2 linked regions of the Lepisosteus oculatus genome follow. The protein of the gene in region 1 purifies or fractionates together with the protein of each later gene. This does not show direct contact. Links are inferred from orthologs where the notes say so. Each region holds a gene or a part of one and is shown on either strand. Other genes may lie near its edges. The genes, in order: spag9b and RCC1 domain-containing protein 1.

What was found.
Region 2: the proteins of spag9b (region 1) and RCC1 domain-containing protein 1 purify together in Homo sapiens (affinity purification with mass spectrometry; 3 studies listed by BioGRID and IntAct, counting the BioPlex papers as one, with this or other methods). This does not show direct contact. The link is inferred for Lepisosteus oculatus from reciprocal best matches to the Homo sapiens genes SPAG9 and RCCD1.

What each region holds. Positions count from the first base shown.
Region 1 is NC_090704.1:33,786,272-33,801,392, reverse strand, and holds the start of spag9b (C-Jun-amino-terminal kinase-interacting protein 4), read left to right. Parts: upstream 1-8,769; 5' UTR 8,770-8,952; coding exon 8,953-9,252; intron 9,253-15,121. Other genes in the region: mbtd1 (MBT domain-containing protein 1), read right to left, coding at 420-508, 841-975, 1,813-1,957, 2,188-2,270, 2,755-2,869, 3,068-3,201, 3,882-4,083, 5,019-5,048. UniProt on the Homo sapiens protein: The JNK-interacting protein (JIP) group of scaffold proteins selectively mediates JNK signaling by aggregating specific components of the MAPK cascade to form a functional JNK signaling module.
Region 2 is NC_090700.1:60,923,490-60,939,675, forward strand, and holds RCC1 domain-containing protein 1, read left to right. Parts: upstream 1-9,465; 5' UTR 9,466-9,688; coding exon 9,689-9,914; intron 9,915-10,393; coding exon 10,394-10,582; intron 10,583-10,875; coding exon 10,876-11,029; intron 11,030-11,745; coding exon 11,746-11,867; intron 11,868-12,020; coding exon 12,021-12,128; intron 12,129-13,377; coding exon 13,378-13,524; intron 13,525-13,826; coding exon 13,827-13,856; intron 13,857-14,160; coding exon 14,161-14,318; 3' UTR 14,319-14,720; downstream 14,721-16,186. Other genes in the region: unc45a (protein unc-45 homolog A), read left to right, coding at 31-125, 473-614, 1,198-1,338, 1,486-1,613, 1,802-1,868, 2,423-2,536, 2,833-2,948, 3,872-3,989 and 2 more; calcium and integrin-binding protein 1, read right to left, coding at 15,130-15,151, 15,764-15,852. UniProt on the Homo sapiens protein: Plays a role in transcriptional repression of satellite repeats, possibly by regulating H3K36 methylation levels in centromeric regions together with KDM8.

The sequences.
Region 1 (15,121 bases):
GGGGGAAGGAATGCGGAATTTTGGCTATGATTATCCTGAAATTAAGAAAATAATATTGATCGGAACATGAACATCATTAGCCACATAACAGCCTGTATAGGGCAGTTTGTAAATTAAGAGGAGCAGGAGTTACCAGGGGGGCGGGGCAGTAACATAGTGGTTAGCATTACTAGGAGTGTTTTCTCCCACAAACTGTAGGTTAATTGGCTTCTGGGAAAGTTGAAGCTGAAGTTTGTGTATGTCTGTGGTGACATGAACTGGTGCCTCATTCAGGGTGTACCCCTCCTTGAGCCTCTTGCTTACCGGGATAGGCTTCATCTCCCCTGAGACCATACATAGGGAGAAAGACTTGGAAAATGGATGGGTGGAGTTATCAGGCAGGAGAGCAATATGCAAAATGACAGAGAGGGGATACGCACCTTTGCAGAGAAGTCCGGGGGAAGCGTTTTAGCACCAGTGAGCCGCTTTACAAGAAATGCTTTCCAGTTGGTGCATTTATGCTGGATAGCTACAGAAAAACAGAGGGGGACAGTTGCCAGAGACACCATTAAGTAAACCCTCAATATAAATTGCCCATAAACGCAATGATTATTTTAATAAAAATTACACATGCAGAATATAGTCAGAAAGGCAGTTAAGCAGCTAGATGGATAAACAGAAAGTAAAATACAGTAACTCAAACATTAACATACACAGAATAATATACAAGCTGACAGATAGGGTGTCTACACTGGAGGATTAATTATACTGGAAATAATTAGATTTAAAAAAATAAGTTATGTATTAGCTGCTGAAAATTATTTTTCTGATAAACACTTGGGATTGGCACAGTTCACTTACATTTGGGAGGTACGAGGGGCTTGCCACTGGTAGCACACCAACCCACTGGGTGCACATCGGGAACACAGAGGTTACACCAGAAGTCTCGGCTGGAGTCGTTGTCAAAGCCCTCGTACCGCAGCAGTGCCTTGAAGCCTACACACAGAACAGATCGGGCATTACTACCTTGCTGTGATGTCTCATCAAATCTCAGGAGGTCAGAAAGGCTGGGCCTAGTAAGAATCACAATGGGAGATGCCTGCGAGAAACCAGGTTACTGTTGCAAGTGGTGATGGGAGATTTGTAGGGGGCACTGGACCATGGACACTGCCTCATGGAGGTGCAGTACTTCAGATGAGTCTGAAGCATTTATAATACTTAGTAGGAAGAGAGTATTGATGCATAGCTCATGGGATTCAAGTGATTCTGTATTTATAATCAGAGCCCTATGTGTACTTTCACAGCAGACAGGCCCTTTTATATGGTATTTAGTTTGTTTCATCACTGGAAGATAAAACAAATATAGTTTGCACGTAAAATAATGAAAAGCTCAGACTTTTCAAATAGATCAGACAGGTCCAATTAACAGAGATTTATAGGGCTGCTACTAAGCCGGGCAAGACTCCCTATGCTCAGATGTAGGTTTGGTCAAAATGTGGGCTGTTTAACCAGAAAAATTCAATATTAAAATACTATAGTATTTTTTATAGTGTAATACCTTGAGTAAGGTATCATGAATATCATGAGTAAGGTGAGGTCTGTGCTTTGCTGCAACAATGACTATGCTGCAACAATGACTATGCTGCATGATATGGCACAATTTAAACAATTAATCATTTGCTACCTGATGATCATAAATTGCAAGGCCTTCAACTGCACCACTCAGAAGATTTTTTAATGAGAAACAATTAAGTATTATCTCTGAAGTTTTCAACAAAGAGTTGCCTCTCCTTTTTCTTCTCACTACCTGAGTAGCTCTGGTTCTGGTTATACCTGCTAATTTGACGATTCCCGCGATCCAGTAGACCTTTCCTGGCAGATTGCTATCTGTGTTAGGAACTTCTACTCTTACTCCTTCCGAGATGTCACCCCAGGACCTTCCCATTGGTACCTGGTTTACAAATTTAAAACAGGAAAACTACTTTTCATAGGATGATAAAAAAAACATTCATCAATCTTAATTCCACTAAATCCCCAAATCTTGGCAGTAAATTAATGGAATGCTCTGCACCTGCAATATTCTGAACATTTCACCATTTTGAAAGGAGAGAAGCATTTGTCTGAAATAAAATTAATATGGAAAAAAAACATAACTCCTATTTGTAAAAGCACAATAACAAACAGTGTAGTAGTTTTAATTCTACTTACGTGCTTAAAGCAGCTAACAGGTGCCGCAACAGAGTTATTGCTGCTGATGTAACGACCCCAATCAAACCCCTCCACAGGAACCACTGAAAAGGGCAAGACAAGGACAGAAAGATAAAATATATTCAGTTTATCACTGCTTCAGGTGACTTATTACCAACAGTGCTAATATCCACTCCAGCACCCAATTCCCTAAATATCTTTAATGCATTTTCAAGAAATTGAATCTTTTTGTGTTTTTATAAGAGTCCCACTCAGAAATGGCAAGCTTAAACGGCATTCATTTTCCAAAAGGCAGTGCCCTCTGTGTGCTATGCTTATATTCATCAACCATGTGCTTCCTTTCAGCTACTTCTGGGAGCACTAATAAGAGAGTAATGATCTAGTAATACCACGCACCTACACTATGTACATTACAGAATGCAAAATTCAAATTTCTGCATCAAGGAAGGTGTCATTTATTCTTAGATTCACACATGTAGTAAAATGTAGTAAATGCTAACCACTCTGTGAATATACAAACTCTTACTAGTTAAATAGTCACAGTTACAGGACTTCACTGTCCCTCACCTGTTTTTGATTTAGCTTGGTTTTGTTGGTTTGCCTGGTACTGGGCATATGCTGCTAACTTGGCCATTAGAGGTTGTTTTTGTAAGACTTTTGCCTTTTTTGTAGGTGGTTTACCCTGCAAATAAAAAATATCCAATATTCAATGTTATTAACATATAAAGACATTAATATGTACATTATTTGTAGATTACAATCTTATAAAAGTGAATACAGCTGCTGTTCGTCTGGCTGGTGACTCTAACCTAGGTCTTTTTGCTAACACAAGCACCAAAACAGCTTTCTTTGGGGTCACGTGTAAAATAAAGAACATTACCTGGAGCCTAGCCAGAATGCTGGCCTTCTTTGAGTTAGAGGAATAACTTCTGGAACAAGAGACGCTGCAGAATCGCTTGGTTTTGGAATAAAAGGCATCTCTGACTCCCACCATTCCACACATCTCACAGGTAGCTGAAAGAACAGGCAATTGTGGGTTACATCACACTTACAAGTGGTGGGAACAGTGAGAAACCTTTTAATTGTGCAAACATCCCTGCACGATCCCAGACTGTCGCTGGAAACATTTTTTTCTCAATTTACTCATTAATGTCATGCAGAAAAAAAAAAACAGAACACACCCGATATAATTCAACACAAGCAAATACTGTTAAAATCTGCACAGCTTACTCTGTCATGTGACTTTCCTTTAAACTTGCCTTTTTCTAGTTCTGTTTAGTGATGATGACTCTTCCCAGAGCCCTTGTAACTCACATTTCAGTCTACGGATTACCAGTTGATATATATGTACAGTATATAGCTATGCATTTATTTACACCAGCTATTGAAAGATGTTCTTTTCAACAGAACAGAGAATGAAAGAATGTAAAATAATCACAACTATGATATTTTAAATATAGATAATAAAGCTAAAAAATATTGAAAGAGCAATGAGTAAGTTTGGCCTCTAGTAAAGACAGAATGACTTAACTGCATTTTAAATGGTGGTATGGCGCTATAAAACAAACACCAAACACTCTGTGTGCTGGTGGTATGGCGCTATAAAATAAACACCAAACACTCTGTGTGCTATGCCTTTAATTTGGGTAATTAGACTTGTGTTGTGAGAGGGCAGCGTGAACTTGTGGACTGACCCATGCCAGCTTTGCCATCTGGGTAGGTGTACACCTGCCCATTGTTCTTGATGATGGGCAGGTTGGCAGGTATGGAGGCGACCTCCTCCTCGCTCTCCTCCGAGCTAGAGCTGCTGCTGGTGTCCTCACTGCAGCTGTCATACCCATCATACATCCCGAAGGAGTCCCGCCTCTTCCTGTCTGACCGAGGAGTGTGTTCAGTCTGGGTGAACAAAGACAGGCATTGAAGAGCGCTGGCTGCAGACCTGGCATTTCCTATTGCCTTGGCCTTATGGGTTACAATCAGAAACACAGCAGGCATATTAACCAGCCTGAAAACCAATGTGCACTTAGTGTATTCAGATTAAAAATCTACACCAAAGCTACTGTATGCTGCCTATTTTTCTTTATTTTAAGAGCATGATTCCAGATTGCAAAAACACCTTTCTCAAAATACCAAAGTTTCTATAGTTTCTTTTAAACAAAACTTAACACATGGTGCATTTTAAAGTATAAGAACATGCGAACAGCTGCAAATTCAGCTGCTTCTTGAAGCAGCTCAGACTCTCAGACTCTGGATCTCAACACAGGCCTAGCTAGAATGCTTCTTAAAGGCCCCAACAGCTCTTTGTGTAAAGACATGTTTTCTACTCCCCAATCTAAATGATTGCTCCTTTAGTTTCTAAATGTGATCTATGTTTTATTACAGTCATAATAATTTATTTTCATTACAGAGTCGTAAGTAGTCCTATAAGTTGACCCAATATAAAAACCTCAGAGGCAGATATATTGGATGATATTATCATCCAGGTGGGTGCTGCACATTGGAGGTGGTGGAGGGGAGTCCCCATTACCTGTAAGGTGCTTTTACTGGAGTGTCCAGAAAAGCGCTATATAAATGTAAGTAATTATTATTAATATTAGGATCAAGCCTACTTTATCTAAACTAAACAGACTATGTTCCTTTAACCTGTCTATTAAAATATGTTAAAAAGGAAATAACTTTAGAAAAAAATTATGAGTAATGAAACCACATGTAATGTCATTACACTGTAACCAAAGTTGAATTATATAGATTTTTATTTTTAATTAGTCCACACTAGCGTATTGTCCAGCTTCCCTTGTTTTAAATTTCTCAGGTTTTGCTACATACAGTACCTTGGCATTTTGGTGTCTTGATGAGAACATAGAAGAATCTAGACATCCAGGTCCCTCTCATGAGTAGCAGTTCAGAATCTGCAATGGGGCATGCCTAGAGCATGTTTCTTTTTCCTGAATTGATCCCTTTGCTCTTAACATTACATTTTATTTGGCACACCTCGTATTTTGGAAAGGAGAACATGTTGTGTCAGTATTCAGTTTAGCTGTACAGTGCAAAATCCACTATCTGCTGGAGCTTACTACTGTGACAACTTAATCAATATTTAAAAGATGTTTCTTAGCCTGCATATAAGAAAGTTTATTTTAATGGTATAATGGGTGGCAGCTTTGAACAGTATTCTAAGCACAGAAGAGACTTATTTGATAAATATGATGAACTCCCAAAACAGAATCTCGCTGTTCCAATAAATGCTACTCAAAGACCCAAGATAATAAGAACAGAACTTAAAAAAAACCTTGCAAACATTTTTACAATTATTTCTTCCACTTATTACCATCCAATATTTCCAACTTTCAATGGTAGTGGAAACTTACTACACCCGAAATACACCTAGAAAATCTTTGTATAGGATATGTATTACTGGTCAGTGAGCACCTTACACATAGAAAAACAAATATTTATGGAAATGAAATTTCAATGATCGCTATTCGATTTCATATGCATTTCACAGGATGCAATACATTCTACGGCCGCAAACGACAGTTGTAAGTATTTCAATAAGCTTAACTACTCCAACTGCAGTACACTACGAGTTAAAGGTGACAATAAAAAGATATACCGAGTTTTCGCAAATATTTAAACAAGTCATTTAAAACTTGGTATCATAACATTTCCGGGCTCTAATTTGTAAACATGGCTACGATTTTGAACTCCGGCAGAAATGCTTAAAAATCTCAAGGCAGAGCGAAACTGCTGTGTGACACGGTAACAGCAGAATGGTAACCCGCAACGCTGGTCTACAGAGCAATAAGCAGCTATTTCTCAGCATTTATTTCTTCGGAACTCTAACACCTAGTAACAAGGTGTGTTCGCTGGGGTTTTTATCTGTAATATCAGAAAAACACGTATTTTGAAGGATTTACCCGTTACATACACGAATGACATGGAAGTCTACGTACCAAGTATTTCAAAAAAACAAGGAAGCATTATCTGTGTGTGTGCTTTGAATGCTACTACCACTGCAGTCGTGACGGGCCTGCACGCCTTTTCCACTTCGTCCTGCAAACTAGCGTCTCTGCAATGTGTTTCAGCTAATTCTCGGGTGCTTCACAATCGTTAAAGCCCCGGCAATCCGTCAGCCGAACCTTTGGAAACCTGATTGTTTTACCTAGGCGAATCTGGAGGCCCCTTTTTTCTACTGCTGTTTCTGCTGCAGGCTGACAATCACAACAAAGGAAGAGAAAAACAGGCTTGTTGCACTCCAAAGCACCACGCTCGATCTCCCCGCTCAACTCACCAAATCCCTGGCGTTTTCCATCAGCCCCTCATGCAATGCCGTTTTGTTTTGTGTGTGCAGTTGTAAAATTCCCGAGAAGGAGAAATAGAACAGAAAATCAAACTAAAACCCAAAATATTGAACTCCAGCTGAATATCAACAAAATTATCATATCTGCAGAGCGCAGGCGCAGGGTAAACCCCCTGGTTGCCATTGGTCGGAACGAGGAAATGGTAATCGACACAGTCCTTACACGGAGGATTTTGGCCCCTGGAGGCCACCGTACTACCTGAGGGGGGGAGTCTGTTATCGTTGCTTCAATGGAGCGCACCTGTTCTGCAGGCACCCAAAGACATATCACGAGTTGAACGGAATTATGACACTTCTGTTTTTTATTTGACATCCTTCAAAGAGCTATTGTATCCAAACGAATGAAGCTAGATAGACCTCAGGCAGTTTTTTCACTTGCACTGAACAAAAGCCCACTGATGTTACGAATTGACCCAGCTAAAAGAAATCGTACAACATCTGGGGCGCACCTGCTCGGTACATGAGGAGCGATCGAAAGAAGAGAAGACTCCGACACAGTTTTAAGAAAGCAGAGACCTTGTGATGGAGGCAGTGAATTTACACATGCACGCCGTATACGCTGTATCCCGTATGTGGGGTTCATAGCTTTTGCGTTAAACATTTGAAAACCTAATGTTTATGGTTCGCTCCCAAAACTAAAATGACCTGATTTATTCACACGCAACGTACGAGTTATGTGTGTGTTGTACATTTTGAAATCGTAACACTGTTTTTCAAGATACATACATTTCTTTAGTTCTCTCATCCTGAGTCGATCACGAATTTACAATACCATTCACCCCATTTTACTGTTAAGTCCCGCTTACCAAAGAGGGCAACAGATTTTCCAAAGAGGAATTCTGACATGGGAACATTGGTTTTAAATGTGCACACATTTATTTCAACCAGCTTTTTTACCTTGCAACTTCCAATACAACACGAACTCTTATAACATACTACATATACTTCAACCGTGAAAGTAGAAATACAGCTGCTACTGCACCATTAAATACATACGTTATCAGTAACAAGAACAATAATTAAGCTCGGAACTTTCGACATTTTGCGGCGCACAAAAACGTACCTTTCTAAGCCAACAGATTGCTTTATCGTTCGGTCCAACTAGAGGTCGATTAACTTCTGCTTTGATAGGGACACCTCTGTGTAAACCACTTCTGTGTGCGCGTTTTAATTGAAGACTGAGAGCTGTGTCTTTTCAGCACTTTGTAAAACAGCAGGAGTGTCAGGAAAACATATTTCAAGAGCTTGCTATTGGGATAGTTTGACATATTAAAACAGAACCATGGTAAATTAAAATGTCTGTTTTTTATATAATTTTGTTTTGGTCGTGGTAATACCAACGTCGCAAGGAACAAGTATGAGCTGGTTAAACGAGCAGCAACATTTGAGACCCAGCAGAGGGCGCTGTTTTGTAACATCAAATCAGACTCAGCTTTACCTATAGCAGGTGAGTTGTTAAACGTCTTATGTGCCAGGTAGACGGCACTCTATAAAAATATTTCTTTTTAAAATGCAATGTATTAAATATGATATTGCACATGTTCGTTGGGCATGACATACCAACTTTCAACAATTCAAAAACAAGCACTAACCGCATGTGTAGCACCATATACAGATTCACAAACCTGAACTAAATTAAACATTTTGGCGTCAGATTCCACCTTGTTCTAATATTTAATAATCCAACAGACTTCCTCACTTTCTGCTTTCGATAATATACCACCTCCATTCATCTGAGGGATATATTCTAATCAGAAGTGCAGACATTCGATAAGTTCTTTACTAGTTTAATTAGTTCCTCCAGTGGGTTCTAAATTGGCTATTTCTTTTGAGTTTTACTTATGTTTGTCTTAAAACACATAATGCAAGACTTACCTAGTTAAAAACGAACAAGTCGAATGGTTCAGTGCATTTGAATAAATAAAAACGAATACAGTACTTGGAAGACAATGAAGAAGTGAACGCACAAAAAGATAATTCGATACACTCTGTTCTGTTTGAATATTTCAAAAATATTAATTTCACGACTCGTGCAAAATGAAACTACTAATTAATTAAAGACACCCAGGCGTAATCTTTAAAGAAACGAAAATTGCAGCGCAATATTCCAGCCCTTCCACTCGCAAATCCCAGCCCCGGTTTTAGAATGTGACGTCATCACGTGACGGTCTGGTCAACAACTCAGCTGCACAGGGAGCTGGAGGAGCGGCAGCCAAATAAAACACAAGACATCGCTCCCTTAAAGGGAGGGACTGCAACTTGCCCGGATTCTTTTATTTTTTTATTATTTTTTAATTTTTTTTTAAAGAAGTCCGGCATCTACACAACGTTGAGGAGCAGATAAATTCGTACAAGATAGCAAGAGGTGGAGGGCTGCACCGCATCGGAAAGAGAGAGAGAAGAAAATGGAGTTAGAGGACGGAGTTGTATACCAGGACGACCCGGGGACGGCGGCAATGATGTCGGAGCGGGTGTCGGGCCTGGCCAGCTCCATCTACCGCGAGTTCGAGAGGCTCATCGGCAAGTACGACGAGGACGTGGTGAAGGAGCTGATGCCGCTGGTGGTGGCCGTGCTGGAGAACCTGGACTCCGTCTTCGCCGAGAATCAGGAGCACGAAGTGGAGCTGGAGCTGCTGAAGGAGGACAACGAGCAGCTGATCACTCAGTACGAGAGGGAGAAGGCGCTGAGGAAGCACGCCGAGGAGGTGAGGGGGATTGAGCCGGGAGAAGGGGCGGGGGGTGATCTGTCCCCGCTAGGCCGTTGGCATTATTCATCATATTCCTGCACCGACCCTGTGCCAACCGCCAGCCGCCTCTGGGCCACACACGGTGTACAACACCCCAGGCGTTACCGTGCGCGCATCATGGCATGAGCGATCTGCACTGCACGGTGCGTCCAGAGACCCAGCTAACTGTTACCCTTCTTCCTTAATCCCTTAATCATCGTGCCGTGGCATCGCCCGATTGCATTTTCCTTCTGTCAGCTGCCATAATTCATAATTCAGCTGCCATTAAGTCACAACCCAGCCCACCCCGAAAAAGTAAGTTCGGACGTGCCTTGGGTTTTCCAGAAAACAACTGCACTGCCGTTCTGAGTAAAGACGCTTCACATTCCGCAGGTTGTGGCCGTCGTGCCGAGCCCCTTCGCAGGCAGTTCCTGTGCCCCTGTATAGGTGGTGGCAGAAGCATCGGATTGTTGAACCGGTGACGGGGAGAGTTGACAAGGTTGCGCGCACATTTGCCTTCTTAGGGACCTCCTCGTAGGTTTGGAGGTTGTTGGTTTAGCTGCGGGACTAGATCGTTATTCGTTTATCCGTTTCCGAAGAGAGAGTGGCCTGCTATTTTTAAAGCACAGAGGAAGAAATGGAGAGGGAGGTGCTGTAGTGTATTTTCCTGTAGTAAAATTCCTGGATATACTTATCCATTTTGCATCCCTTTATCTGTCAAGTTCAGCGAGTGCTTTGAAGGTACAAGCTGGCAGTCATTCACAAACGGATCCCACAGGTGTGCTGGTGTATCAAGCACTTGAGTGGTTCCTCTATCATTATTTTGTAAGAACTGAGATTAGGCACTATTGGGGTACTGAGGTTTCTTGTTTTTTTAATTATATTACTTTCCTTTTAATTTCATCATAGAAATCCATAACATCCTTTCCCCTAGTCTGCATTTATTGTTGTTTGCTTAACATGGACCATAAGTGTCGAAGATAAAGTATGTGCACATGAGTTGTCATGACACTAAAAGTTTCAAGTTTAATGTTTTATTTATGATATTGTGTGAAGAGCAGTACATTTAATTTGGTTAAAAATAAGCAATTATTCAGTGTTTTAAGTTTAGACTTAGTCTTTAATGAATGATTTCATGCTATGAAATGGTTTGAGATACTCTGTCAGGATTTGGGTGTTCACATTGAAATATATAGTGAGTTGTGTAGAAAAAGGGAATGATTTTTAGATTTCTACCCGTGTTAAATGATTTTGTTCCAGTGTTATTTGTACAGTTTTTCTAATGGGAATATTTTGCTAATGCCAGCGGGTTTGTGGATCTGAATTGCAGGTTTGGCAATTCACAGGAACTTATTTTCAGAAATATTCACCCTGCATGACCATTTGCTAAGAGTCCCCTTGTATTTGTGCAAACTATTTGATTTGACATCAATCATTCTTCATATCACTGATGCGGAAAAATGCAGTACTTGTGCCATTTAACAGTGGCAAGGGCTGTTCTGAAGAGCCCCTACCTGAACTGAGTCACTTGCGTGCACCAGCCTAATCTAACTAGCCTATTTTTATCTTCAAGCTATGAAGTTAAGGTGGTGTATCCATAATCAACGAATCTGGAAAAAAACTATTTTAATGAAGAAGTAAATTGCTAAAGGGAAACGACTTGTACAATGAAGACGTCAGTGGCAGTGAGACAACAGATCTCAGAAGCTAATCAAGTTAGAACCAGGTTACTACTGGACTGGGTGAACTCTAAGGAAAGCCAGGTTTGCTGTTGTACAGATGGATCAGTAATTTGCTCTCTTCCCACTGGAACAAAATGTCACCATGCTGGGACATTGGTTTGGACAGCTCTTAGTGCTATAGGCAGGGCCTTCCTTCAGAAGAGATATTAACTCAAGGTCCTGACTACAGTAAATAGGCATTACAATATCACATGGCACTGCTCATAAGACCCGAGTGTGACCTGGTTAATGTCTCTGGAGTTGCACAATTTGCCATCCTTAATTTCTCTCTGAATTCAATTGATTACCAGTTTCTCTATTCTGCACCTTATCTGCTCTATAGTGGGGTTACTGATGGAGAATTTTGCACTTGGGTATTTTAGGATTGCCTTTATCACAGCCCGTATGAGAATCTGTCGCTGTATTCCCTGTTTAATCCTTCATGAATGCTGTAGAACCGTATGGCTGTGCAGTGCAACTCTGTGGATGTCAGCCCTTGCCAGCTCAACTAAATCTCAAAAGCCACAATCACAGCCACCCCACAGCTTCTTCTGTACTCAGATATGATGCATAATGGCAGTAGCAGCAGAAACTTGCATACACAGTTCTGTATTTTGATTACTAACAAACAACATTACCTAGGAGAATGGGAATCATTTCATGTTTCATGCACTTGTCATTTTTAGACCAATCAGAGGCAGATGGGAGATCTTGTGCTTATTGGTTGCCCTGTGGGAACCAGCCCTCCATCTGAATCAAGGCAGTTAGTTTCCAGCCTGTACTGGTTTTGGCTTTGCTACAAGTGGCACATGGGCTTTAGTAATCACAGTAGTGCAAATGCCCTGGATTGGTTTTCTCTTTTGCATTTTATATAGGTTTTATGTCCTAGGAAGTGAAAGTGCATGTTATTCTGAGAATGTTAGAAGAAAGAAAGTCTGTAATTCCCACCAATTAAGCCTTGGGAGCTTTAAGAGCTTGGTCACCCCTGTCTAGGCTCATTATGGAGCAGTGCAGTTTCTCAGAGCTCCTAGTACACGTTGAAATTGTTTAAGCATCTGTGTCCATAGGTGCTGATGTATTATTATGCTATGCAAGGAAGTGGTGCTTTGCTGAGTGGATCCCTGGATGAGGAGAAGACTGTCGTTGACAGACGGGGCATCTCCTTTCACATTGCTTTCCAGGGATGGGGATAGTGAAGCCAAGCTGTCAGAGTTCATACTGTGAAGTCAAGCAGGTATTCAGTAAGCTGCAGAAATCCAGGTTATGTGGCATGTTGAGGTTTACCTGTATGTGCAGTGCTTGGCTAGATTCATACACCCCAGTGTATCTCTCCGGAGAGATGCTGTGTGGGGCTTTGCACTGTCCTGAAGGTTTGGCTTTAGGATACATTTCATATTATTTAACAGCCTGAATCAATGTGGAGCCCCCATATCTTAAAATAAGGCATAAATAAAAAGGACAGAGAACATTTTTGACACTAGGTCTTCTGTACATTTAATTAGATTATAATACAGACTGAATCCTTTGCTCAGGGAGCTGTTAGCTTTTTTTTTCAGTTATTGAGCAAATATGTTGTCTAATTTGACAGGTTTAGAGTTCTGTGACATTGAATAAGCATTAATTGATGCAAAAGATGCCCTTTTCCGGAAGAAAATGCTTGATTAACCTTATGCTATAGTTTTAGCAGAATACGAACACTGCATCCTGATAAAGCTGGTAGGTACTATTTTTGGTGGACTGAATAGTTTTGGATTGAGATGACAGTTTGATTCATTACTTCCTTCAATAGTCCGCTCATACTTTCCATAATTTCATCTGCCCAGTGTATCCCTTGTGCCTCAAGCCTGGTATGAAGCACAAATTCTGACTAAATTAAGAAAGAAGCTTTATGATTTTGGCAGCAGTTATTAGTACAGCATGGAGCAATTATTTGCTTATTCCTGGGGTAGGGCTGGACTAAGGCTGTGACCTCCACAGTTATAGAACCAAGATGTGACAGACTACGTGGACTCCTGAACACAGCGAGAAGAGTCCCTGATCAAATACTTTGCTTTTTAGCTTGCATGGTGGTTTTCATGATATCACACAATTTCTTGATGACGAATACCCAAACTCAGAAATCAAAATTAAAGCTCTGTCCAGTTAGTCCCTTTATAACCCCCTCCCAGCAAATGCAGAAACCAAGAAATCAATTAGCGTAGTCAAATAATCGACATGCATCCTTATTAATAATGCTCGTTGATGTCCGAGCCTTTCTGGCAAGTGATGAGCTTTATTTTATGTGTTCTGATCTGGACATAAATGGACACTAGTGGTGCAATCACTTAGTGTAATTAGGTTCACCAATTCAGCAGTTTTCATTCCTGGCCTGATTAAATTTTAACCGGACACTTAGAACAAACCTGATCAGGCTCCTTCATGTGGGTATGTGTGGTTTTACAGCTGCAGGCATCGCTGCTGGGGAAAAAAAAAGATTGTCGGAGCATTTCAATTACATTTATAAAACTGCAAAGATAAGCAAATGGCAAAACTTAAATGACATCCACTCATCTGCATGTCAGAAAGCAGTGAGTTCTGACATTTTCACTAACCTGCTAGGAATGCTTTTGGCATTGTCTTTTTTACCTGAAATGCTCTTGTTGCATATGTATGTTTCTTTTTTAACTTGGTTAAAATTGGGGGAAAAAGACCTTGAGGATTTGGATGTGATGTATTTTAAAATATTTCTTCTTCTGCCATATTTGTTTTGTCTAGTTTGCAGAAATTGCTTACTAAAGTTATCAAAGTAGAAAATGTGGGCTTGGAGGGCTAAAACAAACATCTTAACACAAATAGTTGTTAGGGTCTGGAACAAACTGTCTTGCAGTGCTATCTTTCCGAGTTGTTTCCCTGGTATCTTTCGTGAAACGGCAAGAAAAAAATCCTCAGATCAATATGTTACAGGCAACGGAATGAGCGAAATGGGCCATGCAGCCCTTGTTTCACATGTACAACTCTGACAACCTTTCCAGCAAAAGTAGCTTCCAGAAAAATGGGGGAAAAAAAATCAATTTAAAATAACTCATTAATTGAGAATAGTGTTTCCCCACTGCGGTTTATGTGTCTAAGTGGCATTATGGCTCAGCTCAAAGTTCAGGTGTAGCTGCTGCAAACTCAAAGAGATAAGCTTTGCAAAGCAGTTGTGCTGCAGCAGGCTGTAAAGTGTCTTCACAAATGGCTAGGCCTCTTGGTTCTGTGTTGTTGCCTTGACAACACGTGATGAGTGTCTCAGTATTGTGGTTTCGGTGTCCAGTTCTTGAGGCCGTTTTGCCTTGCTTTGTGACTGTGCTCCCCCTCTCTGGTGATGTTAAAACATGAGATGATGATGTAATTGTTCAGTGACACATCACCACTATCTTCCCAGCCAGCAGACAGCTGGAGAGAGCTGCCAGCTACACAGTTACACTTAGTCATTTTCTTGGATTGTTTCTGCTGAGTTGGAAGGCTATGATGTTTATTCACAATGCTGATCTGCTTTTCTTCTTGGCATAAACTGGTTAGGAAGTGATTTTGGACACACCCAAGTTAACCTCTTCCCTTGTATCCACTACAGTTATTATACATGCGTTGTAATCACTGTCATATGGGTTTTAAAGTTACATGGACAGCCTAAGAAGAAGACAGTGTTTTTCAGTTCACTTTAAATTGTTCAGTAACAGTACTCAGTCTCTTTTTTGGTTTGTTTTACTTTCTCATAAACGAAACATAAGAGGATGGTTAGTAATTAAGCTTCAGGTCTGCTTTCCTTTACAGGCCTCTTAGTGTGTAATAAGAAATATTTTCAGAAGAAAGAAATATTGGTACCTAGAAGATCAAATCAATTATTGTTTTTCCACTCAGGGCAGGGGGGAGAAAACATACTTTTTAGTTAAAAGATGGCAGTATTTTATGCATACAGAAAAAAAATGCACAAAGCTTCTACCATTTGGTAAATTGATTATGAAAGAATAATGTAAGTGATTATTTGCTGTGAAAGAGTTAGAGGCTGCCGGTGGTATTCAGACAAGGACATGTCTCTAAACTGAACTTTTTACCATCAAATTGGCTTTATTTCTGCCCCAAAACCTGGGGATTTATATCTGAATTTC
Region 2 (16,186 bases), on another chromosome or scaffold:
GAAGAATGTGAGGGCCTGTGTGTCTCGTAGGGTCTGTGTAAGCTGGGGTCTGCAGGCGGTACTGATTTCAGCATGAAGCAGTTTGCCGAGGGATCCACTCTGAAACTAGCCAAGCAGTGCAGAAAGTAAGTGTCATTTTCTGACATTCATTAAAAAAAATTCTATTTATAGAGGTTCACCCAAGTCCCTGATCTCATCATAACAGACGCCAAGGGAAATCAGACATGCTGCACTGAGGCTCATTGTGTCGTAGATAGGTTTAAAAGCAGTGTGCTCTGCATTCTGAAAGTTCTGTCTGTTCAAAGGTGAGTACGGGAGGAAATCAAACTTATGTTAAGGAAAATGCTAAAACAAAGTTAAGCTAATGGGCAGCAGAAAGTTTCGCGCCCAGGAAATTGTGCACAGTGCAGAGATTAGAAGTGGTGGTGTGTGGGCAACAGGTGGAACGTGTTTTTGTGTGCGACTCTTGCAGGTGGCTGTGCAATGAGGCTCTTCCTCCCAGCTCACGGCGTTGGGCAATCGAGGGCCTGGCATACCTTACCTTCGATGCTGATGTGAAGGAGGATTTGGCAGAGGACAGGCAGGCTCTGCAGGCCATGTTCCAGCTGGCAAAGGTACCCCTGCTGGGGTGCGGTGAGGGCACATCAAGCCAATTTAAGTAGATGCCTCTGTGCCAAGAGGCATTGGCAGTGATGTGTAGAGGAGATGGACTATTTCTGTTCCCCTGGGAATAATTGTGTGAAGACTTGGACTCATACATCAGCATGTGCCAATCCTGAATACCATTTCAAGTTTTCCAGCCCATTGTTGCTCTTTTTCATACTGCTTGTCAGTATTATGTACACTATAAGTCAAATGCAAAATAGCTAACCTGTAGCTGCCACACAGTGCCTTTTTTCTGTAATAGGAACATCTGCATGAAGTGACTAAAAAAAAAAGTGATTCTGTGAACTGCTGGTCTCTCTTGGGAGGGTTAAGGTTTGTCAGCTCACTGACTTAGGAACTATGCCATTGACTGACTTAAGAAGTATTAGGAACTTATTTTTAATTCAAATTGTTTGGGATGTCAGACATTGCCCAGGGTCTGTTGTTTCAGATACAGTGTTGAACTCATGAGACCAGGTGGTTTTTAGACCTAGGCTCTGTTCCATTCCTAAATGGCAATGTTGTTTTGTCTTTGATCTTCTCTGCCTGCAGTCTGAAGATAAGACGGTGCTCTTTGCTGTGGGCTCCACGCTGGTCAACTGCACTAACAGCTATGATGTCGAGAAGCCTGACCCCCAGCTGGTGGAGCTGGCAAAGTATGCCAAGCAGCACGTTCCTGAGGAGCACCCGAAGGTAATTGGAAGCATCCCCAGTTATGAAGAGCTGCTGCTCTTTTTGTCATTCAACTGCTAGATTTGCATTCCTTTGTGAAATGTAGTGCTTATGTGTACTGAACTGTATGTTCTTCCTGCTGCTGTCTCACACGTTTGTGTGTTTCAGGACGCCCAGGCTTTCGTGCAGAAGCGCCTGTCCAAGTTCCTGGAGGCCGGGGTGGTGTCGGCTCTAGTGTGCATGGTCAAGCAGGAGAGTCCTGCCCTGACCGAGTCGTGCAGGGAGTGCGTTTCCAGGTGAGCTCTGATCCGTACTCAGTACCCTTCTGTCCAGTGCTGGAGACTCTTCTTCTGTCCTGCTTGGGGCTTGCATCGTTCTTCCGTGCTCAAGTGTCTTCTCTCCATTTTCCTTTGATGACCGTGACCCTCTTCCTCCGACCAGCGGCTCTGAGTGACACATTTCTGTGGTTTGTCTCCGTCTGCAGGGTGTTCCTGGCTCTGGTGGAGAGGCAGGAGGACAGAGGCACAGTAGTGGCTCAGGGGGGTGGGAAGGTGAGGTTTTCTGGCTCGTGATTGAACCCGACTGTGGTGGTGGTGCGATTCCGATTCACGTACGTCTCCTGTGTTTGAAGTCTCACTTTAGCATATATCATTCTAGTCAGTAGAGATTGCAAATTAACTTTTTCCATTATCCTGAAATTCCTGTTTTTGTTTAATATCTGTCCAGTGTGGAATTTGTGTGTTTGTGCCAGTTGTGTGTTTTCATGGCTTGGCTACTGTTTTTTGACAATTTTGTTGGGACAGAATAGAGTTCTGGCCGACATATCCCAACACTGCCCCCTTGTGGTGCTGAGCCTATTGTGCTCCCCTTCTTGGAGCCCTCCGCAAATTCAAATCAAACAGCAAGGTCTGGATCATGGAGCTTAACCACACCAGGGCAGAACGCCTTTACCAACTGAGTGTCACTACTTTTAATTCCCGGTATCAGAACATGAGAGTCGGGGCAACTCGTCTTGTTTGAAGCTTGTCACATTTGTCAGTGCAGTGCCCGTCTTTTGGTTGCCGTTTAAGGCGTTCTTGCCTCACTTCGATTTCCTATTTTCTAGGCCCTGATCCCCTTGGCAACAGAAGGCACGGATGTAGGGAAAACCAAGGCAGCACAGGCCCTGGCGAAGATTGCCATTACGTCTAACCCTGAAATTGCCTTCCCTGGAGAGCGGGTGAGGCCTGAAACTTGATATGTGATGAAGACCTCCTTTTTATACCTTTCCAGTTTCAATTATCCACTTGAATCGAGGTGGTATGCCCTATTTGATGCGAAGGGACTGAATCCTGACAGTCCACTCTATTATGTGCAATGCAGCTGCATCTGGTGCAGTGTGATGAAGCTTTTGCTGGTTTGTAGGTGTGTGACATCTGATCACTTCCGATGCCCATCGTGTTGTCCTGGGTGTTTGTGTGTGAAGTGTGGGGTAAATGCGCTGGACTGATCTGCGACACTGTTTCTTGGCTACAGATCTATGAGGTGGTGCGACCGCTGGTGAGCCTGTTGGCCCTGGATCGCACTTTGCTGCAGAACTTTGAAGCCCTCATGGCGCTCACCAACCTAGCAGGCATCAGCGAGAGGCTCAGGTCAGTCGAGACATGCGAGGAGTTAAGATGCTAATGTCTGCAGTATAATAGACGCTAATGGGGGCTGCAGTGATGTTGAGAGAAAGCTCCTTTCCCCAGAGCCTGAACCTGCCTCTCAGCCTTTTAAATGGCACTGCTCGCTTAGATTGTCTCCCCAATTGCATGACAACAGACGTTTTCCTGGCCTGCATCAGTGCGGAATGAGTCGTTTTATTTATTTGTTCATTTAGCAGCCATATCACCCTGCAACTCACAACTGGCAGCCCACTGAAGCTAAGCAGGTGTGAGCCTGGTCAGTACCTGGATAAGAGACCTCCTGGGAAAATCTAAGGTTGCTGCTGGAAGAGGTGTTAGTGGGGCCAGCAGGGGGCGCTCACCCTGCGGTCCACGTGGGTCCTAATGCCCCAGTATAGTGACGGGGACACTATAGTGTAAACAGGCGCCGTCCTTCGGATGAGACGTAAAACCGAGGTCCTGACTTCCTGTGGTCATTAAAAATCCCAGGGCGTTTCTCGAAAAGAGTAGGGGTGTAACCCCGGTGTCCTGGCCAAATTTCCCATTGGCCCTTACCATTCATGGCCTCCTAATAATCCCCATCTATGAATTGGCCTACTCTGTTCTCCTCCCCACTAATAGCTTGTGTGTGGTGAGTGTTCTGGCGCACTATGGCTGCTGTCACATCATCCAGGTGGGGCTGCACATTGGTGGTGGTGGAGGGGATCCCCATTACCTGTACAGCACTTTGAGTGGAGTGTCCAGAAAAAGCGCTATATAAGTGTAAGCTATTATTATTATTATTCTTCTTTAATTAACAAGGATCTGACTAGATCGTTATCTGGTGTGAACGATCACGCTCTCCTGAGTGGGCCCACTGTGTAGAGGTAATTGTGAGTTTGAGGGACTGTGTGTGTATGGGCCCGCAGGCAGAAGATCATCAAGGAGAAAGCTGTGCCGAAAATTGAAGGGTACATGTTCGAGGAGCACGAGTTGGTCCGCGCAGCAGCCACTGAGTGCATGTGTAACCTGGTCCTGAGCACGGAGGTGAGAGGCTTTCTGCAGGAACATCGTTCATTATTACGAATTCCTTTTCAGTGTTTCTACCGAGTGGATTGGGAAACGACAAAGCTTAACCTTTTCAAATAATGATAATCCTGTTGTTGTTGTTTCCGAGTTAGAAATCGGTACAGTGGGAAATGTGAAAACTGACAGGTAAGTGAGGGCCGAAACTCGTATCAGGACACGTAGTAGTGAGGATTGATGTTTAGTTTGTGAAACTGAGTCTGGGTTGTTTTAGTACTGTATAAGGTGAGAGTAAGGGATAAGAGATTAGGATTTGGGCACAGCTGGGGCTTGGCCAGTTAGGTTCGGGCCTGTGATTTGTATTGAGAGCTTGACTGAGCACAGAATCTTTGCAGAGGAGCAGTCTGCTCTGGTCTCAGAGAGCGCCTGTGGTGTTTCTCAGGTTCAGGAGCTTTTCGTCGCCACGGGAAGCGACCGTCTGAAGCTGCTGGTGCTGTACAGTGGGGAAGACGATGAGAGGCTGAGGAAGGCTGCGGCAGGCACCCTGGCAATGCTGACATCTGTGCAGCCGCAGCTCTGCGCCCGTGTCCCCGCCACAGTAAGCATGGCTTCAAAATCACAGATGAGCTCAGAAGCAAGTGTGTCTGTGTGGCCCATGTTACAGATCCTAGCTTCTGCTAATTCTATGCTTATTGAAACAACAATTGATTTGGTGCTAACTGCGATAACAGAAGCTGCTTTGAAAGCAGTGTGGAGTATGTGACCCCTTAACCCCTGACCTTTGCCCTGTGGCGGCCTCTCTCCCTGCAGACCACCCATTGGCTGGAGATCCTGCAGGCGCTGTTGCTGAGCGACACCGTGGAGCTGCAGCACCGAGGCGCTGCCCTCGTGCTCAACCTGATGCAGGCTGAGCGGACCCTGGCCGAGACACTCATGGAGAGCGAGGTGCTGGAGATCCTGACCGTCCTGGCCAAGGGGGACATCGCAACACAGAGCCCCGCTGCCAAGACTGCCAAGCAGTGTCTGGATGTGGCAGTGGAGTATGGCATTATCAGAAGTCTTGGGAGCGAGGGCACCAGCGAGGAGCTGCTGGCCTAGTCGGGCTCCGAGTGCCTTTCACTCCCTCTGATCATGCTGAGGAAATGGTGCTGTGGGACTGCACTCATCGAAGAAGAAGGTTGTTTTCCAGTCGTGTAATTTAGAGGGAATTAGGCTGTAACAGGGACACTAGCCTTGGAATTCACTCTTTTGTCTAGGCACTTCCTCTGTCTTCTTCAGACATCCACTTGGCACTACATGGGTTTTAAACAAACATGCCCGTCATCCGATCGCTATGAAGTAGGATTATGTCTTCCTTGACACTTTAAACAAGGGATCAGAACACAGACACTGTAAATCTGCTCCTTTTTTTGTGGCTGTAGACTTCAGGAATGGGACCAAAGATTGCCTTCTGTTGTCTTAATTTTCTGAATTATTATCCAAATCTGTCTAATTATTCTATTTTATTGCCCACTGCCCAAGGGTTATCTGTGTTGTTGAACTATTTTTACTGTTTTTTTGTCCCCAAAAGAACATTCATTAAAACTGATCTGCTCCACACATCCTAAAAACATTTAACTCTTTATTCACACAAAAAAAACACTTAATTGGAGGAAAAAAGGATAAAAAATGTAATTTACATCCACTTTCATTGCCTACTGTATGTTGTCAGATTTTTATACTTTTCTGATTAGATTTTTTATTTTGTAGAGACATCAGAATACAGTATTTCACTGCATGATTGTGTGGTTGTCTCCAGGTGTTTATCCACAGACCTTACATTTCCTGAACATTTTTTTCAGTCATGCTTTAGATAAGAACACAACACCAGATGTCCTTTAACTGAGTTTTGTACTTACAGGGAACTTGAAGGAATATGCTTTGAATGACGTCTGTGAACCAGATGTTTGTGAAAGAAACTTCTTGTCCTTTATCTATGGCAACATTCCTGTGTGTGTGTTGAAAACAGAAAAAAAAACAGAAAGAAGCAATAAGATATACTATGTTCTACATATACCAGTTTTTAAATATCTTTGTTTATGAAGGTTTTGTTATTTTTTTAATTTGTTTTTAAAAAGTAATTTGTCTTAAGAATCCATCTTATTTTCACGCTTAAATAAACACTATATTCCATATGCAGAGTGTGCAGATGTATCATGGACAGTTTTTTCAGGAGAACTACACTTCAGTGCAGAGTCTAACATGGAGCTGGTGTTGATGTTATGATCACAGGAGAAGTGGAGGCAATTCAATCCTCTGTATGTTAAAGTATATGACATGCTGTAGATATAGGTGAAATATTATTTGCTGTAAAGAAATGAACATTATGTTTGGATTGTTACACAAAAATGAGACACTAAGAAGTGGTCTTCAAATATAAGTTTAATAAGGATGTTAAAACAGAATTCATTTGCATTTGCACTACAGTATACAATTATTATTTTGTAGTAATCATCATCAGAGTACAAAAAGGGCAGCATCAGCACATAAACTTTGGAAAGTATCTGTTTTTTTCCCAAAATGACATTTTCTTCTCCCTTTTTTTGACAGTAGTGGTACTGTCAAAGTCTGAAATGAAACGTGTGATTACACATTGGTATAACTGGCTTTGGGATTGTTTTGGGAATCGCCAGCACAATCGCCATGTTTTAAATACTGAATACAAGCCAGTATTGTCCTTTCTCCTCAGACTGAGGGTGACAGGGTCATGGTCTGGGAGCAGATCATTTCCAAAAGGTGGAGAAACAGTTGTTGACAAGCAGTTACAGTATCTGTACATGCTGTATAAGACAACAGCAATAATAACTCCTTACACTTGTGTAGCGCTTTTCTAGACACTCCACTCAAAGCACTGTACAGGTAATGGGGATCCTCTCCACCACCACCAGTGTGCAGCCCCACCTGGATGAAGTGATGGCAGCCATAGTGCGCCAGAACACTCCCCACACACCAGCTCTCAGTGGGGAGGAAAACAGGGCGATGAAGCCAGTTCATAGATGGGGATTATTAGGAGGCCATGATTGGTAAAGGTTAGGGGGAAATTTGGCCAGGATACTGGGGTTAACACCCTTACTGTTTAAAAAAAAACCTGGAATTTTTAATGACCACGGAGAGTCAGGATCCTCGTTTTAAATCTCATTTGACAGAGAGCTCCTTTTTTACAGTATAGTGTCCCTGTCACTATACTGGGGCATTAGAACCTACATGGACCACAGAGTGAGCGCCCCCTCCTGGCCCCACTAACACCTCTTCCAGCAGAGACCTTAGTTTTCCCAGGAGGTCTCCCATTTGAGTGTGTGTGGATACATATATACGCACACACTGTCCTTTTTAATACTGTATAGTAAAACCTCAGTATTTGCTAGGGTTATGTACCTTGAAGTCTTCGTGAAGGGCGAATTTGCGAATTCTGGACGTATGGTGAAAATAGGGTATGATTCTGAGGCTCGTGAAACAAGCATTTCTGGAATAATATTATTAAAACAACTTTTAACTGTTTCAGAAATAGCGTTAGTAATTATTGGTAATGAAAATGAGTACTGCAAACTTAAAAATGCAGTTTTCCATCTATAATTCAAGTTATTGCATGTGCAAATAAAATAATGTGGTGTCTCTTGTTTGTATTCGTTTTTATACTTAGTAGAGTGCATTTTCTTTACTTTTTCCATTGCTATTATGTCTATTATAAATGCAGTGCTACTGTACTTTAATAGTTTACTGTACTTTATTCCACCAAAATAATAACAGACAAGAAAGTTCATTAAGGGTATTCACTCCCTTCCCTCTCAACTAACTCCTATTCTTGCCTCACACCTGAAGAAGGCTTCACAGCCGAAACGTTGTTTTCTTTCTTCCTTTTTTTCAGCAAGGAATAAACCTTTACTTGTTCCTTTGCAGCCTACGCATGCTGACGCAGCTCCCCACCTAACATAGTATGTGTCCACCGAGGTATTTGTTATGTAACACTTCTTTAATTTGGCAGCACACCACCGAGTTACATACAGGCATTACTCTGATAACAGATCTGCATACAATGCACATCTAATGCTTTCTTGAAGGAAGCTGAACACATGCACACCCCATGATGCACTGCTACCCAAACATGCCAACTCTGTGATAACCAGGCAGTGCCTTTACCGCAGAGTGATGCAGGATGTGTGAAGTAGGTCTGCAGGAAGATGAGCAAGTGGGTGCTTGCATTTACTCTCCTACTGCGCAGTTCATTAAAAGGGGATGTGGTCTGAGAATGTGGAAAAAGTGGTCACTAATACCTTTCACCTCATTGTTGAAAACACAAATCCAGAATTTGCGAATATTGAGGTTTTACTGTATTTCTTATTAAAGTTCTTTTTCACTAATTAATTAGATAGCTGCGGGCACTTGACCCAGCTATCTGGACAGATGCTGAAATTATCTAGAAATCAGCAGGAACATGCAGTGAGGTGGCCAGGCGTTATGCTGGTGATGTAGTGTTGGAAATTGTGCATGATGCATGCTGGTATTTATGTTTTCAAGGATAATAAAAGTCCACTCTGAGGGTACAAGAGAGAACATGTTTTAGGAATAAACTAAATAATTAATTAGTCTCTCCCCTCTGTTGTATTGTGCTGTATTGTAAGGCCCTTAACCCCAGGAGCTCCAGGAGCTCCGTATGAATGGCTGACCCTACGCTCTGACCCCAAGCTTCTCTCCCTGTCTGTGTGTCTGTGTGTCTCATGGAGAGCAAGCTGGGGTATGTGAAAAGACAAATTCCTAATGCAAGAAATTGTATATGGCCAATAAAGTGATCTGACCTGATCTTATCTTATCACTATACTGGGGCATTAGGACTCACACAGAACGCAGGGTGAGCGCCCCCCACTGGCCTCACTAACACCTCATCCAGCAGCAACCTTAGTTTTCCCAGGAGGTCTCCCATTCAGGTACTGGCCAGGCTCACACCTGCTTCAGCTGGTTTCTAATTGTGAATTGCAGGGTGATATAACTGCTGATATATATATATAAATAATACATTATTTTGCAAGGTGTAATGATTATTAATTGCTAATAGGATGTTTTGGAATGTGCTGCTTGCAAACCTGGTTATGCAGATCCACAGAAACTTCTTTATTTATTGGTGTAATTATTCATTAGTAGGCATTTTTATGCTAATAGTGTATCGCAGCATCTAAGTGTTAAACTGATATGCAGTTGACACTTAAATTGTGTACAATAACATCAATAATATCTTAAATCTAACATGGGCAATAAAGCACGGGATTATGTTTTTGGAAGTTTGGAATTTGGGAAATTTTCATGCGTTGAATGTATCATCCTCGTGAACAAAGTAATTCGCGGGTGTTTCATACCCTCTGGCTAGGTGGCGCTGTCAGAGGAATGAAGACTATATGAGGGTGCAGACGCTCTTGGTGAGTCAACGCTCCTCGGTTGTTTTGAATTATTTTGAATACTCCTGCGCAGTACCCCTCGAAAAGCAGCGGGGCTATGCAGACTAACTACGGTGCTTGGTTTTGGTGACGCTCTTTCTGACTTCTCGTACAGTAGATGCAGAATTCGTGCAGGCTTCCGTGATTGTAGTGTTGTAAAAGCTTACTTGCTACTAAGTTGTCTGTTAGCAGTGAGAAGTAAATCCTGTATTTGACGAAGGTGCATTGTTATCCGTTTGCAAATATTTATTTTTAATGCCTTGGTTTGGGTTCGGATTTAATGTCTTTGGACAGATAACACCTCTTCCATCGCAGTTAAGCAAGACAGAAGAAACCGTGCCCAGTGGGGGTGTGAGAGTCCTGGTCCCAACCAGGCTCAGTTGCTGTGGCAGTCATGAAGAGACGCCTGTCGAGAGACAAGAGGAACGCTGTCCTCAGGTCCGAGCGAGCTGGAGCAGAAGAGCTGTGCTCCATCGGAGAGGTATAAGATAGGATGCAAGTCTTAAATACCTCGCACAATCGAAGGAAAACTGGAGACTTTACTTCTTGTATTTACATGCAGAATTCTTATCGTGCGAGGGTCTACATTGGCGTGCAGGAACGTGTCATTTGTTCGAGGTTATTGTGAAATTTTAAAGGATTTGTATAATGTGTCAGCTGAAATAAAGAGTTTTGGCACTTATAATTACATAGATGTATGCACCTACTGATTTTTTATTTTTAAGAAGAAAGAAAATGGTTTTCTGAAGTCCATCCTTAAATAACAACTAACAACCAACTGCACCTACAAAAATACTACACCTATATCCAAAATAAGCTCGCAATCATTCATCTACAGTATGTCCTAACATCTCTAAGAAATGGCACTGAAACATGCTTTCCAAAATAGCCTTGTTATGGCTGTGCATCAGTTGCAAAGTCAGACTTTTTCTTTTAATTCGAAAGCCTGGTTTGTTCCAGGTGATGGACCCGTCTGTCTGTCAGGCTTTGGAACAGGTCCTCCCAGCTTTGTGTCAAGAACAAAGGGTTGCCTGGATGCCCTTGTGAGTGAGAGGTTGTTGACGCTGGCTTTCGCAGACAGAGTGGAATGCTGGGACATGGAGGGCAAGACTATCTGGAAGATGGAGTGCTCCAGTCCGGATACTGTAGGTAGTTCTTTCAGCTTTGTGTCTGGAAGTAACAGTGTTCAGTTAACATATTGTGAGCCAACTAATGTTTTTTGAAAGAGGATTCATTCAGGAATTAAAAATTTCACCCAAACTCCTGTAACAATGCTGTTATATGTTAATATTAGTCTGATGCTGTTTTTTGCTGCTCAGTGGAAAAAAGAGTTTTGGTTTTTCCTTTCTTGCTGAAGAATGATTTCTTAAATGGAGATTAAATTACTTTCACAGTTTCTTTCACATAGATGTTAAAATGTCTCTTTTTCTGTTTTGCTTCAGCTTTGCCACTGGTTCCTGGAGGCTATGTAGCTGCAGATGTCCCTTTCTATCGCCCCTTGTCTCCACAGCTCTGTGCTCATAAGCTGGCTCTGGGCACTGAGCACGCGGTGCTGCTGACTGCCGCTGGAGCTGTGTACACCTGGGGCTCTGGGAGGTGAGAGCAGGACGTGCAGGCACAGATGGCCACTTTGGTTAATCATTGATCAGAAACTGCGTTGCTACCAGTCACATTGATCCAGGAACATCATTACCCACTAATGGCAGCGATGTGCATCAGTATGATGTCTTAAAACACACAGGTTTTCAGTTATTTAGTCCCCCTGTGATCTTAATTAAGTAATTGAAATACTTATTTGAAAAGAATCAGTCAGATCGCCTGTTTTTTTCTGGTTTTAATTGGTGTGCTGGTTGAGCAGTACTAATTAAACGTGCAGGATTGTGGCCTTTGAGGATGGGTGCTGCCCACCCCTGCTTAAACAGATTAATAATAATAATTGCTTACACTTATATAGCTCTTTTCTGGACACTCCACTCAAAGCTCTTTACAGGTAATGGGGATCCCCTCCACTCCCACCAGTGTGCAGCTCCACCTGGATGATGCAACGGCAGCCATAGTGCGCCAGAACGCTCCCCACACACCAGCTGTCAGTGGGGAGGAGAACAGAGTGATGGAGCCAGTTCAGTGATGGGGATTATTAGGAGGCCACGATTGGTAGGGGCCAATGGGAAATTTGGCCAGGACGTCGGGATTACTCCCCTACTCCTTTCGAGAAACACCCTGGGATTTTTAATGACCACCACAGCTTGAAAAGCTCTTCCGTCTTCCCGATATCAGGCTGCCCTGACCCGGCTGCTTTGTTGTGTTTGCAGCCATGGCCAGCTGGGGCACGGGGGGCTGGACAGCCAGGCCGAGCCTCAGGTTGTGGAGGCGCTGTGGGGTCTCTCCATGAGGGACGTGGCCGCAGGGGGCTGGCACTCAGCCTGCATCAGTGGTAAGGGCCGTGCCCGTGCGCCCAGTTTCTCAAGGACCACTTGTGCGGGAGAAGGCAGCTGTCGCCGTGCGAGGGGGGGGTCTGGGTGTTAGGGAGCAGTGTGCGGTTTTCCCTCAGTGACCTGTCGGTCTTCTCTGTTTCTTCCCTGAGCAGCAGGGGGAGACCTGTATGTGTGGGGCTGGAATGACAGAGGCCAGCTGGGGCTCCCCTCTCGCGGCCTGAGAGCAGAGCAGCAGCAGCGAAGCAGTGGAGCAGGTGGGAGTAAGGCCCCTCGAACTCAGACCAACTGACCCTGATAGAGCATCTGTAGAGTGGTCTTTATATACTTAACTAGGCTGTTGAGGGTTGGGGAAAAAAACATGAGTGTGTGTGTATACATATATATGCACACACTGTCCTTATTAATACTGTATAGTAAAACCTCAGTATTCGCTAGGGTTAGGTACCTTGAAGTCTTCCTGAAGGGCGAATTTCCAAATTCTGGACTTATGGGGAACGTAGGGTATGATTCTGAGGCTCGTGAAACAAGCATTTCTAGAATAATATTTTTAAAACAACTTTTAACTGTTTCAGAAATAGCGTTAGTAATTATTGGTAATGAAAATTACCAATAATTACTGAAAACTTAAAAATGCAGTTTTCCCTCTATAATTCAAGTTATTGTATGTGCATTCTGTACTTTAATAGTTTACTGTACTTTATTCCACCAAAATAATAACAGACAAAAAAGTTCATTAAGTGTATTCACTCCCTTCCCACTCAACTAACTCCTATTCTTGCCTCACACCTGAAGAAGGCTCCACGGCCGAAACGTTGTTTTCTTTCTTCCTTTTTTTCAGCAAGGAATAAACCTTTACTTGTTCCTTTGCAGCCTACGCATGCTGACGCAGCTCCCCACCTAACATAGTATGTGTCCACAGAGGTATTTGTTATGTAACACTTCTTTAATTTGGCAGCACACCACCGAGTTACATACAGGCATTACTCTGATAACAGATCTGCATACAATGCACATCTAATGCTTTCTTGAAGGAAGCTGAACACATGCACACCCCATGATGCACTGCTACCCAAACATGCCAACTCTGTGATAACCAGGCAGTGCCTTTACCGCAGAGTGATGCAGGATGTGTGAAGTAGGTCTGCAGGAAGATGAGCAAGTGGGTGCTTGCATTTAATCTCCTACTGCCCAGTTCATTAACAGGGGGATTTGGTCTGAGAATGTGGAAAAAGTGGTCACTAATACTTTTCACCTAATTGTTGAAAACACAAATCCAGAATGTGCGAATATTGAGGTTTTACTGTATTTCTTATTAAAGTTCTTTTTCACTAATTAATTAGATAGCTGCGGGCACTTGACCCACTTATCTGGACAGATGCTGAAATTATCTAGAAATCAGCAGGAACATGCAGTGAGGTGGCCAGGCGTTATGCTGGTGATGCAGTGTTGGAAATTGTGCATGATGCATGCTGGTTTTTGTATTTGTAAAATTGATGCCTTTTAATACAGCAGGAAGTGGTGGGATGATGAGAGAGCAGGATGCGAACAGTGATGTCTTCATCTCAATCCAGGCGTTCCCTGCCCTGGTGGACCTGCCTCAGGGGTCAGAGGTCACCAGAGCTAGTTGTGGGTCACGCCACACAGCAGCAGTTGCATGTAGGTAACAAAAATGTCTCTTTCCCAGTGTACGCAGTTTTCACTGTGATGCTTGGTAGACATGTTGAAATTAACATAAGACAGTTAGCATTAAATAAATGTTTAACAATTTCAATATTTTCAGATTATGCAAATTCATAATGTATCTGTGTTTTATTACTGTGACATTAAGGTTAAAACCATTTATTTTCTTCAAAGTAATTTAATGAGGATTAATGATGTTTTTCACCTGCAGTAATTTGTATCAATAAAGACCTTATGACTTGTGTAAATAAAATGTAAATCATTGTTTTATGGTTTAGGTACTGGTGATCTCTACACATGGGGCTGGGGTAAGTTTAATAGCGTTGCCAAACCAGCTGTTTTATCACTTATTCTATTGAGCATGATTGGGCTTGCAGTTATCATGGCATTTTAGACAAAGGTGCATTATTCCCTGTAAACGTTTTGAAGTCCCCAGATATGAAGAATCCATTTAGTATTTGTTTTCAAGGATAATAAAAGTCCACTCTAGGGTACAAGAGAGAACAGGTTTTAGTAAATAATTAACTTAATAAAATTAATTTAAACTAAATAATTAACTAGTCTCTCCCCTCTGTTGTATTATGCTGTATTGTAAGGCTCTTGGTGTTGCAGGTGATTATGGACAGCTCGGCCAGGCAACTCCACACAGTTCAGACCAGCCTGCCCGTGTGGACTACTTCACTGAACAGAGCCTGCGGGTGGTGGATGTGGTGTGTGGGCCCTGGAACACCTTTGTCTATACAGAAGAGAAAAAAGCCATGCTCTTGTGATGTACAGTAAGCTCCATCCCACAAGCCCGCTGTTTCTGGATTTTTATTCAGCTCTTCAGCCTAGGAAAATAGCAGATGTTGATGCAGTAGTTTTAACACTCTGAAGCTGTGTCTACTGCTCTGCGATGTAACAGTGATGCTTTGTTCCATTGTTACATAGCTTTTGAATCATGAATATTGAAGAGAAAACTTAGGAACCTTAGAAATAATGACTTTATTTTGAATATTTGCTTAATGACAGGAATAGGTCACCATGTAAGTCTAAGTCTATGAAATAAAATACAGAACTAGGAAACTTGACCTTTGCCTCCTACTTGGATGTGAAAGATATTTACAAGAGTGTGGAGTGTTCTAATCACCATTAATTTTCCATGGACAATTAATAAAGATTTGTAGACTTTCTGGAGTGTCTTGTTTTAAAACTAAACTTTAATTTACCCAGTATTGAGTTGTGTAGGTGCATTTGTACAGTGAGAACACAATTTTGTTGAGAGAAAAATCTTGTTTTTACTTGTTAATCTTGCAAACACATTGCACACATAAGAAGAAAATGTTTTATTGCACGAGAGAGTATTAAGATCATATATAAAATAGATAACAGCATTTTCACAGTAGAACTACATTCATCTACAAAATGTTAAGGTTCTAAAAAATATTAAAACAATGTATTATAATTTAAGGCACAAGATGGAGCTCCATTGTATAAAAAGTTAAAATTTGCAGTTTGAAATGCTGGCATCCTGCCTGTCAGGAAGAGGACCATGAGACGGCTTGCTTGCAGTGGCTCCGACTCTTTCACAGGGCAGCCAGCTCACAGGATAATCCTAAATGAGCTTCAGAAATACAAGAGGTCTGTTAGCCATACTGCCTCATCCAACCAGCCAGTGCCAGAAAAGCCTCATTGCTGGTAAGGGGTACAGCAGCCAAGAGCCTATGCTGGAGGCACAGAGCTAAAAGAGGGTGACTGTAGGTTGGGCATACACACATTTTAGAAATGCCAGTTAACCTAGGAAACTGGAGCACCTGGCAGAAACCCACATGAAAACAGGGAGGATGTCCCACTTCATAGGTTGGAATCACACCCAGGAGCTGTTAGGAAGCAGCACCAACTGCCAACGCTGTCAGTCAGTTCATTCTGCAATTCCACTGGTTTATTTTTTACCTTAGTCTAAGTCATAACTTCTTTTTGGCTAATACAAGATAATAGGTATATATATTTTAGCCATGAGTGATTTTAATTCATGGAAATGTGTAGATATAATTTTTTGAAAGTGTTCTCTTCTAAAGTAAAAAAGTATTTTGTATTTAATATTTTTCCCATATACCATCTATTTTTCCTGAATTAATTTACTCCACAAACATTTTACCATGTGCATCCAATGTTGACTTTCACCATGAAGTAATGTAGCTCTGAAGATTCAAATTAGGTGTTTAAAATCTCTTACCCAACAAAATCAGGCGATCTTGAGATGACATGCTGGAATTCTGAGAGATTCACAGTTCCATCTTTGTCAATATCGGACTCCTCGAGGATCTAAGGTTTGTTTAAAATTAGTTAACGTGTTGAACACTAACTTCACATTGTTAGTAATGCATTCTACAATATGGTTTCTTTAATTCATTCACTTTCAGTCTGTCCTGTTCAGCGTCATGGCATTTACAATCTGGTTTTACCATTTATCAGTACTGTAACATTTTGCTTGTTTGCCTTCTCTCTCAGTACAATGAATGTAAAACACCCTCACCAAAGTGCCATCAAAATGTATTTCTACAATTTCATTTACAACTATATAGTTCAATAGAACAGAATTTGGGAAGAGAGTGTATTAATCTGATTTCAGAGAAAGTCTGTTAAACGGGCTGAGTGA